Linked DNA regions of Mus musculus. The protein of the gene in region 2 interacts with the protein of the main gene of each other region in a biochemical or structural test. Links are inferred from orthologs where the notes say so. Each region holds a gene or a part of one and is shown on either strand. Other genes may lie near its edges.

The links.
Region 1: the proteins of Ap1g1 (region 2) and Clint1 form a complex in vitro, tested with the Homo sapiens proteins (2 studies listed by BioGRID). The link is inferred for Mus musculus from reciprocal best matches to the Homo sapiens genes AP1G1 and CLINT1.
Region 3: the proteins of Ap1g1 (region 2) and Synrg form a complex in vitro, tested with the Homo sapiens proteins (2 studies listed by BioGRID). The link is inferred for Mus musculus from reciprocal best matches to the Homo sapiens genes AP1G1 and SYNRG.

Annotation. Positions count from the first base shown.
Region 1 is NC_000077.6:45,903,955-45,907,474, forward strand, and holds part of Clint1 (clathrin interactor 1), read left to right. Parts: intron 1-2,226; coding exon 2,227-2,513; intron 2,514-3,520. UniProt on the Homo sapiens protein: Binds to membranes enriched in phosphatidylinositol 4,5-bisphosphate (PtdIns(4,5)P2). May have a role in transport via clathrin-coated vesicles from the trans-Golgi network to endosomes. Stimulates clathrin assembly.
Region 2 is NC_000074.6:109,851,581-109,855,100, forward strand, and holds part of Ap1g1 (AP-1 complex subunit gamma-1), read left to right. Parts: intron 1-119; coding exon 120-247; intron 248-953; exon of another isoform or gene 954-1,961; coding exon 1,962-2,066; exon of another isoform or gene 2,067-2,210; intron 2,211-3,085; coding exon 3,086-3,227; intron 3,228-3,402; coding exon 3,403-3,520. UniProt on the Homo sapiens protein: Subunit of clathrin-associated adaptor protein complex 1 that plays a role in protein sorting in the late-Golgi/trans-Golgi network (TGN) and/or endosomes.
Region 3 is NC_000077.6:84,005,917-84,009,436, forward strand, and holds part of Synrg (synergin gamma), read left to right. Parts: intron 1-2,701; coding exon 2,702-3,520. UniProt on the Homo sapiens protein: Plays a role in endocytosis and/or membrane trafficking at the trans-Golgi network (TGN). May act by linking the adapter protein complex AP-1 to other proteins. Component of clathrin-coated vesicles.

The DNA.
Region 1 (3,520 bases), on a different chromosome or scaffold from region 2:
AGTCTGGGTGGTGAACTCACTTGGACTGCCCAAGTTAATCCAGTGTAATAGTATCAAACCTCAGATGATGACACATGTCGTTACTCCATCTTTACAATATAGATTTAAGAGTTGGGCCTAGGGCTGGAGAGATGGCTCAGCGGTTAAGAGCACTGATTGTGCTTCCAGAGGTCCTGAGTTCAATTCCCAGCAACCACATGGTGGCTCACAACCATCTGTAATGGGATCTTATGTTCTCTTCTTTTTTTTTTTTTTTTTTTTTTTTGAGCTTCTAATGCTTTTTTTTTTTTTTTCCATTTTTTATTAGGTATTTAGCTCATTTACATTTCCAATGCTATACCAAAAGTCCCCCATACCCACCCACCCCCAATCCCCTACCCACCCACTCCCCCTTTTTGGCCCTGGCGTTCCCCTGTACTGGGGCATATAAAGTTTGCGTGTCCAATGGGCCTCTCTTTCCAGTGATGGCCGACTAGGCCTTCTTTTGATACATATGCAGCTAGAGTCAAGAGCTCCGGGGTACTGGTTAGTTCAGAATGTTGTTCCACCTATAGGGTTGCAGATCCCTTTAGCTCCTTGGGTACTTTCTCTAGCTCCTCCATTGGGAGCCCTGTGATCCATCCATTAGCTGACTGTGAGCATCCACTTCTGTGTTTGCTAGGCCCCGGCATAGTCTCACAAGAGACAGCTACATCTGGGTCCTTTCGATAAAATCTTGCTAGTGTATGCAATGGAGTCAGCGTTTGGATGCTGATTATGGGGTGAATCCCTGGATATGGAAGTCTCTACATGGACCATCCTTTCATCTCAGCTCCAAACTTTGTCTCTGTAACTCCTTCCAAGGGTGTTTTGTTCCCACTTCTAAGGAGGGGCATAGTGTCCACACTTCAGTCTTCATTTTTCTTGAGTTTCATGTGTTTAGGAAATTGTATCTTATACCTTGGGTATCCTAGGTTTTGGGCTAATATCCACTTATCAGTGAGTACATATTGTGTGAGTTCCTTTGTGAATGTGTTACCTCACTCAGGATGATGCCCTCCAGGTCCATCCATTTGGCTAGGAATTTCATAAATTCATTCTTTTTAATAGCTGAGTAGTACTCCATTGTGTAGATGTACCACATTTTCTGTATCCATTCCTCTGTTGAGGGGCATTTGGGTTCTTTCCAGCTTCTGGCTATTATAAATAAGGCTGCTATGAACATAGTGGAGCATGTGTCCTTCTTACCAGTTGGGGCATCTTCTGGATATATGCCCAGGAGAGGTATTGCTGGATCCTCCGGAGACACCTACAATGTATTTATATAAATTAAGTAAATAGGCTTGTGGGCCTGGATTAGAAAGGCTACTGTCTTTAGAGTAGAAGCGGAGAGGCTGCCAGGCAGAGCCAAATATGCCCTTCAAAGGCACACCCTTCCTCCAGCCTGGCACTACCTCCTAATGGCTTACCATGTATGAACTCATCTAGACTGGCTCACTGACGCGCTTAGCACAGCTAAGTTGCTTCTCTGTGCTGCAGATTGCAGACCAAGTCTTTAATACCTACCCCTTCAGCTTGCATTTCAAATTCAAACTAACAAGAGTTCTCCTTGCTTTTTATTGAAATATAATGAGCAGTCAGCATACTGGAGATTGTTCTTAGTAGTAGCCCATGTGTAGTCAGTGGGAAAAAACCAGAGTGAGACCTCCTAACACAAATGTATTAAATGTTCACATGTTATTTTTCTAGCTTCTTATTCTCCATGGTTTATTTTGTTCTTATTAAATTATAGATCATGAACATGAGGCTTTGCAAATTACGTAGGTATAAATTGCAGGCTGATTTCTTTTTGAACCTTCTAAATGAGCAAAGATGGGACTCTTAATTGTGGAGTACCTCTCCACTCCCACAGGAAGTTAACCGGTTTAGAATCTCCTCCTTTTTCTGAGTCCCATGTGCTTAGGTGATGCAGACTTCGTTGTGTGATTTCATGGTGCTTTTTGTGTATCATGCACAGGTCTCCCAAGAGGTGGGTTTACTTTGAGAGTTCTAACTTTTCTTTGCCACCTTGGAACACTCTTGTAATATTCATCAGGAAGGATTCTGTCCAGATGGTGCTGGGGCCTGTAGATGCTAACCTGCATGGGCTCCCATCAGCTTCAGTTAGTTGCAGTTCATATAGCTTACATTTGCTCTGGGCACTTCAGAATGCCTCTCACCCTTGCCTTCTTTCTGTCTTGGTAACAGCAACAAGTGGGAATGGTGACTTTGGTGACTGGAGTGCCTTCAACCAAGCCCCATCAGGCCCTGTGGCTTCTGGTGGTGAGCTCTTCGGCAGTGCCCCACAGTCGGCTGTGGAGCTTATCAGTGCTTCACAGCCAGCTTTAGGCCCACCGCCTGCTGCCTCAAACTCGGCAGACCTGTTTGATCTTATGGGCTCATCCCAGGCAACCATGACGTCTTCCCAGAGCATGAATTTCTCTCTCATGAGCACTAACACCGTGGGACTTGGTTTGCCCATGTCCAGATCACAGGTAAGTTGTCTGTTTCCCTTGGGAATTGGTGCTTACACTAGTACTAGAAGGTCTAATAGCATGATGAGTTAGTGTAAGACAACACGGACTGACTCCTCCCCCACCCCATAGTCCAGTGTGGGCTAAACACTGTTAGGTGACACAGGACTGCACGTGACATGCTGTAGGTTGCACTTTTCACCCATTGGGTCTTTTATGTGTTCTAGAAGGCAGGGTAGTCTTACCTATTTACAGTCCCTGGCACAGAGAGATGTGCTGAAGTCTTGTGGGTTACCACAATTAGTATTTAGTTGTGTTTAAACATTGATTTGGGGGAATAGATTTGCTGTGTGACTCATGGAAACTAGTTAATAAACTCTGCTTTGTCGGGATGGTTTTGTGTCGCTGTGCGTTGATGTTCAAGTAGAAAATCCAGTGATGGATGAAACCTGTTCCCGGCTTGTTGGCAACCTTCATTTTAACACAGGGAAACTTGTGAGAGGTTTCTAATTCACACTTTAAATAAGAGTTAAGATTTTTGCATAACAGTATCTTAGACTTGAACATAGTTGGAAAATGAGTTGTACTTGGGGGTTTGCTAGCTATGGCTGAGTCACTGATAGGTTTCTATGCTAATCCCTTGTTTTAATGTATAGATCCTCGTCTTTGGGGTATTGGGACGAAGGAAGGGAAGAAAGAAGCAGAGCGGTGACTGAGAGGCCAGCGGCCTTCTTTCAGCCACTGTGTCCTCCAGCACTTCGCCTTGGTAGACTTCTCATTTCTTGTCACCCATTCCTTTTTTCTGTCCCTTTAAAAGTCATTTTTAGCAGCCACCATGCACCTCTGCTTCTTTCTCCTGAATTCCTTCTATCAGTCCACATGTGTTTCCTGAGCCACTGATGGTGCCCACTCGAGGCAGTGGAGGTGCACAGAGCCAGGAAATGCCAGTCAGGCCCTGGGACGGCCATTTGCCGCTTGATGACTTGGGCTTTATGCCATGAGCAGACAGAGTTGCATTCCGCCTGTCC
Region 2 (3,520 bases):
ACAATGGCTTTTTAAAAACCTGCTTTGACCAGTGGACTAATTTAGCATGGACTGCATGAGAGGCAGCACCTTGAGCTCACGGTTGTCACTGGCTACATGTTGCATCTTCTTCCTCTCAGGTGACAGAAGATGAAGTGCTGGATATTTTAGAAAGTGTCCTGATCTCTAATATGTCCACCTCTGTGACAAGAGGCTATGCTCTCACTGCCATTATGAAGCTGTCTACCCGATTCACCTGTACTGTAAAGTGAGTACTGAGGGAAGGAGAGTTGCAAGGTTGGTCTGTAACTCCCAAGGGTGATGGAGTGTCCTCAATATCACTCTCCACCTTAATTTTTGAGGTAGGGTTTCTTACTTAACTGGAAGCTCACTTATTTGACAAGTTGGCCACAAAGCATCAATAATCTATGTCTAAGGGATCACTTCTATAGCGCTAGGATTATATACTGTCACACTCAGTGCTTGCATGGGAATCGCTTTACCCACTGAGCCACCTCCCTAGCCTGTTCTGTAGCTCATTTGGTATTTTATTTGCCTAACACATACAAAGACCCGGGGCTGATCTTAAGCACTGCAAAAACCAGGGTCTAGATCAGGTGTCTATGATCATCCTTGACTTTATGACTAACTTCACGCTAAAGCTAGTTTATATGGGACTCCGTCTGAGAAGTTTAAAACCTTATCTTAGAAAATTTCAAGAATAGACAAAAATGGGGCTGGAGAGATGGCTCAGCAGTTAAGAGCACTTGCTACTCTTGAAGAAGACCCAAGTTAAATTCCCAGCATCCACATGGTGGTTAACAGCCATCTGTAACTCTAGTTCCAGTGATCCAATATTCTCTTCCAAATCTCTTCAGGCAGTGCACATACATGGTGAGCAGACATATTTTCAGACAAGGCACTCATACACATAAAATAAAAATCTTAGAAAAAAAGAAATGGAAAAAACTAGAGACAATAGTCAAATGAGTTTTAATTTACTTAGTACCACACACAGAATGATCAGTTCATTGCTCATCTTTCTTTTGTGTCAGTATTTTGTTTTGTCATTGTCTCTCCCTACTGTGCATTATTTTGCAGTATTTTTATAGTATAGTTTTATAGTATAGTTTCTAACATTTGTGGTTTATTGGGCTTTTTTTGTTTGTTTGTTTTTTGAGAAATGGTTTCTCCATGTAGCCCTGATAGTTCTAGAACTTTCTCTGTAGACTGGGCTGGCCTTAAACTCAGAGATCTGTCTGCTTTTGCCTCCCAGTGCTGGATTAAAGGCGTGCAGCACTATGCCTGCCTTGGTTTATTATATTCGAAGATGTTGGTGTAGGAATAAAATCCAGATTTGTGTGAGTGTCTTTGTGGGGGGTGTGTGTGTGTGTTTAAATCTTTTGAGTTTTAATTGGTGCTATTTTGAGCAAAAATTGATTTGAGTCAGTTTTCCTGGACTTTTCCGTTTCATTTTCAAAGTGGCCACAACCTATGAGCCAGATAGCTTTGTGAGAAGTGTAATTATTTAGTGTTTAGATTGCTACAAGGATTGTAGTGAGCACGCTAATGCTAAAACCTCATTTTCAAAGTTACTAAGAAAGAGAATTGGACAATATCCATTTCTTTGTGGCAAAGTGATGGGTGCTTTTGTTTGCAAGGGTCTCAATGAGGAGATTGGACGTCAGTCCTCACATGCTGGGCAAGCACTGCACCAGTAAGCTGTGTTCCCACACCTCCAGTAAGCTTGAGGATGGGGAATAAATACCTAGGTAGAAGTTTCTCATTACAATTACAATATTGATAAATGAGTGAATAGAGATAAGGGAATTATAGTTGTTCTTGAAACACAATTTGAATTAAGGAAACATAGAGAAATCAGAAATTTAACCAAGAAACTCTGTTTTGATCATCTTCACTGCTCCTTATAAATTTTGTGTTTTGAATGATTGATTTCATTTATCCTATTATCTGTCCCACAGCCGAATTAAGAAAGTGGTTTCCATCTATGGGAGCAGCATCGACGTAGAGCTCCAGCAGAGGGCAGTAGAGTACAACGCACTTTTTAAGAAGTATGACCACATGAGGTGAGCAAGAGCCTTGCTGTACCCACCTCTGGCACCTGAGTGACATGTCCTTTTTGTCCCTGAAGGACACTTGTTGCTTGTGCTGCATTTCCTTCCTTCTCACTGAGTGGCCGCTTTTCTCCATGTTTTCTTCTTTCTAACCTCCTAAGAAATAAACGTATTGAGTCAGATGGAGGCAGAGGCAGGTGGATCTGAGTTTAAGGCCAGCCTGGTGTACAGAGCGAGTTCCAGGCCAGCCAGAATTACATGGTGAGACCCTGCTTCAAAATAAATCATTAAAAAACAATGTGTTTTTTAGTCTACCTCCCTCCTCTACCTCTGTATGTAAAGTTTGCATCATTTTCCATTTTATTTGGCTAAAAGGCAGTTGGAGTTTTTTTCCAAAAGAATTTTTTTTCTTTATCTTTCTTGAGACATGGTTTCTTTGTATAACCCTGGTTGTCCTGGAACTTGCTCTATATACCAGCCTGGCCCCAAACTCAGATATCTGCCTGCCTCTGCCTCCCAGTGCTTGGACTCAAGGTGTGCACCACCACTGTCAGACCCAAGAGAAATAATTTTATTCAAATCCCATAAATCCCATTATTTGTAACATTTTGGTGCCTTGCTTTTTTTCTTCTTTCTGTTCTATAATACCTAAGTCCTGATTGAAGTCTGCTAATACCTGCTGGGTTACCTTTCGTTTGTCTTAGTTGTGTTTGGGGATTTAGATGTACATTTTATTTATTCAGAGACTCTTGACTGTTTCTAATCCAATTGAGAATGTAGGTCATGTATGTATTCTTGTAATACACCTTCTGTTCCAGTTTACGTGAGTGTATGTGAGTGCGTGTATGTGAGTGCGTGTATGTGAGTGCGTGCGTGTGTGTGTGTGTGTGTGTGTGTGTGTGTGTGTGTGTGTGTTGGGTGGGGAGGGAAGGGGAGATGCTTCCTCACAGTAACTGATAATAGTGGTTGTTTTGTGTAGGGTATGGAGGCTAACTGCCTAGAATGTAATTGACCACTGCAAATTCTTCTAGGTCTGCCCTACTTGAAAGAATGCCTGTCATGGAAAAAGTGACCACAAATGGCCCTTCGGAGATCGTGCAGACAAATGGAGAGACAGAACCAGCGCCCCTAGAGACTAAACCACCACCCTCAGGGCCACAACCCACAAGCCAGGTCCTTGTCTGGGGCTACTGGTGATATTATAGTTCTGTAGCTTATTTCTTAGCTGTTGTCCTTTAGTATTTTTTGATTGCTTGATAATTGCCGTCCTTGATGTTAAGTATTGAGGAGAAAAACTGTTAAATACACTTTAGACAAATAACTCGTGAATAATTATTTCCTTATTTAGGCCAATGATCTATTGGATTTGTTGGGAGGAAATGACATAACACCTGTTATCCCAACTGCACCTACAAGCAAACCAGCATCAGCTGGTGGAGAACTTCTCGACTTGCTAGGAGACATCA
Region 3 (3,520 bases), on a different chromosome or scaffold from region 2:
TTCCTTGAGGTGGACCATTTGAGGTCCAGATCTTTCCTCTCAGCACTTGGGAAGTGGAGGCAGGAGGATGAGGAACACAGGTCATTCTTGGCAATAGAACAAATTGGAGCCAAAAACTAAGAGAGATGGGGGAGTGCTGTGACTGGGGCCTCTGCAGGACCTCATTCAGAAATGAGTCTCCTGCGCTGCTGCGCGACAGCTTCATGTCTCCTCACAGGTTAAGCCAGACGCTGTATGTAAGTTTTGAACAGTGGTCAGCATAAAGAAAGGATACTTCTTATTGGAGCTCTAGCTAAATACTCCTTCAAAATGTTCTCAGGGCCTAAAAAGTTACAAAAATCAAAGGAGGAACTGGAAAAGAATCTGAGAGCCAACTAACAAGCTTCCAGAGGGGCAACAGTCACTCCAGCGAGTTAACTTGCTGACGTCATTCTCTTTGCTGTTGAGTTATAAACCCTCTCCTTTCTCATTCCCTTCAACCCTTTCACCCAGTTCACAGTTCTGATGGAGAAGTTTACAATTCATCATCAGTAAGTTTAGTTTGCTGTGCGATTTGTGTTTAAAAATCAAAACCTGTCAATTTCACAGATATTTCAAAGCAACACATCAAAATTGTATTTAGGCCATGATCTGGACATGGTATCCCATGCCTTTAATTATAGCGCTCATGAGGCTAAGGTAGGAGAATTGCCATGAGTTCAAGGTCAGCCTGGGCTACCATGTATTTTGCCTCAAAATACCAAAAATGACCCCCAAAAAAGTTTACTACTAATTATATCTTCATTTATAGAAATAACACAAATGTCATCGACAACGCATCTGTAAATCCTAGGGTAGTTTTCACATTTGTATTTCCTGTCAGTTTGTGAAATTGACTTATGTCATGTCTTAAATACAAAAATTATAGGAAACTTGAAATAGGCTGCTCTTGTTTATCATATTTCTCTATACTATGGAAGGATTTGTGTTGATGGCTTTTGCTAGTAAATAAATTCAGTATCAGATTAAAAAGCAAAATTACATTGTTTCCAGTGCTTTTTCTCTTTGGTAAATTAAAGTGTAGCTCATGCATGAGGCCCGATAGGTTGAAAGCCCATCTCTTCCTTGGTGGCAGTTTTAGAAACTGGTTTTAAGGTTTGGCTTTTAAGTACACTTTATGGTTCATTATGCATCTATGTTTGATCATTTAGGAAAAACAGTTTTTTAAAACATTGATGAGAGTGTGTGCCTATGATCCCAGCACTCAGGAGTTAGAGGTGGGAGGTTATACATTCAAGGCCAGCCTGGTCTGTCTGGTGAATTCTAAGCCAATCAGAACTACAAAAGTAGACTGTCCATTTGAGGGGGTGGGGGCGCGGAAGCCATGCAATGCTGGTGCACACCTTTAATCCCAGCACTTGGGAGGCAAAGGCATCTGGATCTCTGATTCTGAGTTCAAGGCCAGCCTGGTCTACAAAGTGAGTTCCAGGACAGCCAGGGCTACACAGAGAAACCCTGTCTCAAAACCTAAAAGAAAACAAAAAAAGAGTGGAGGTAAAGTAGCAGAGAAATTTAGGCTTTTATTTCTTAATCTCCAGAATTGGCAATCATGTTAATAGATATTAAATGATGTTGGTTGGTATAGCAATACTCACAGTTGGTATATCGCTGGCTTTCATTAAATGGCTTATCCTAGTGGTTTCATTGTAGGCCTTCAAACATTGTAAGAAAACTGAGGTTATCTACATCCTGACATTATAATTGTAAGTGCTAAGATTAGACATGAGTGAAGAGTAGAAATCTTATTAAGAATCATGGTTCCAAAGTTTAAAGACTAAGTTCTCAGGGGCTGGAAAAAAAATGGCCTACAGGATAAAAATGTTGCAGAACCTGATGGCCTGAGTTCAGATCTCAGATTTAAAACAAAGGAGAAGAGAGAGAGAGTCTACACACACAGCTGTCCTCTGACCTCCACATGAGCACTTAACTTGCTTTGCAGATAAGTAGTTATTTTCTCAAAGATTTTTACAAAAAGAACATCCGATTAATGTCAGTGTACTTGAGCAAGACTACATTGTATCCTTTCTAATATTTTGTGTTCCTGTGTGTGTGCATGGGTGTCAGTGTGTGTCATGCATGAGTTTGCCAGTGGGCACTGAGCTACACTGTTAGCATCTAGTAATGAGGTTGTTTATTTATTGTTGATGATGGTTAGTTCATTGGTTGGCTGATTAGTTGGTTGGTATGTTGGAGAGCTGATCTAGTCATGTAGCCCAAGTTAGCCTCAACTTGTGATCCCTCTACCTGAGCTTCCCAAGTCCTGGGAAGGTGTGTGACTCAACGCCCAGCTTCTAAATCTTTCTAAAGTGCTTAGTAGTTCAGAGTTGTACACTCTGAATACCAGATGCAGGATTCTCTGAGTCCTTCACTGATACCTTTGAACTTGTTTAAAACATTATAATGCTTCATGTTTAGTGGGCAGCTCTCAGTGTGCCTCTCAGAATCCTCCAGCTTCTGGTTCAGTTCTGGCCAGAGGAGGAGAGAGTCTTGAGCCGTGCTTGCCTGTTTCCTTATCACTGGCTTTAATGGAGACACAAGGCTGTGGACTGTGGTTACCATTGAGCCAAGGATGGGTGTACAGGGTTTTACCTTGGTTTAATGCATCGTGTGCCACATGGTCTTCTGCTCTGCATCCTTACTGAACTGCACTTCTTTTTTTCAGGAGAGAGCTTTGCCGAGTTCAGATCCACAGGAACCGATGATGGCTTCACTGACTTCAAGACCGCCGATAGTGTGTCACCCCTAGAGCCACCCACAAAAGACACTTTCCCATCAGCTTTTGCCTCAGGAGCTGCACAGCAGACACAGACACAGGTGAAAACCCCTCTGAACTTAGAAGATCTAGATATGTTCTCCTCAGTGGATTGCAGTGGCGAGAAACAGGTGCCCTTTTCAGCTACATTTAGCACAGCAAAGTCCGTTTCCACTCGACCTCAGCCAGCGGGCTCTGCAGCAGCGTCAGCAGCACTGGCATCCACTAAAACTTCTAGTTTGGCAGATGATTTTGGAGAGTTCAACCTCTTTGGGGAGTATTCAAACCCTGCATCTGCTGGGGAGCAGGACGACTTTGCAGATTTTATGGCTTTCGGTAACAGCTCCATTTCATCTGAGCCAAAAGCAAGTGACAAGTATGAAGCCCTCAGGGAGGAAGTGAGTCCCAGCCCCTTGTCCAGCAGCACTGTGGAAGGGGCACAGCACCCACCTGCTGCGGCAACCAAGTATGATGTCTTCAAACAGCTGTCCCTAGAGGGCGCTGGGCTGGCCATGGAGGAGTTCAAAGAGAACACTTCCTCCACCAAGAGTGAAGATGACTTTGCCGACTTCCACTCCAGTAAATTCTCATCCACGAGCTCAGACAAATCCCTGGGAGAGAAAGCCGTGGCTTTCAGACATGCCAAAGAAGACTCCTCCTCGGTGAAGTCTTTAGACCTCCCCTCCATCGGTGGCAGCAGTGTTGGCAAGGAGGACTCTGAAGATGCAC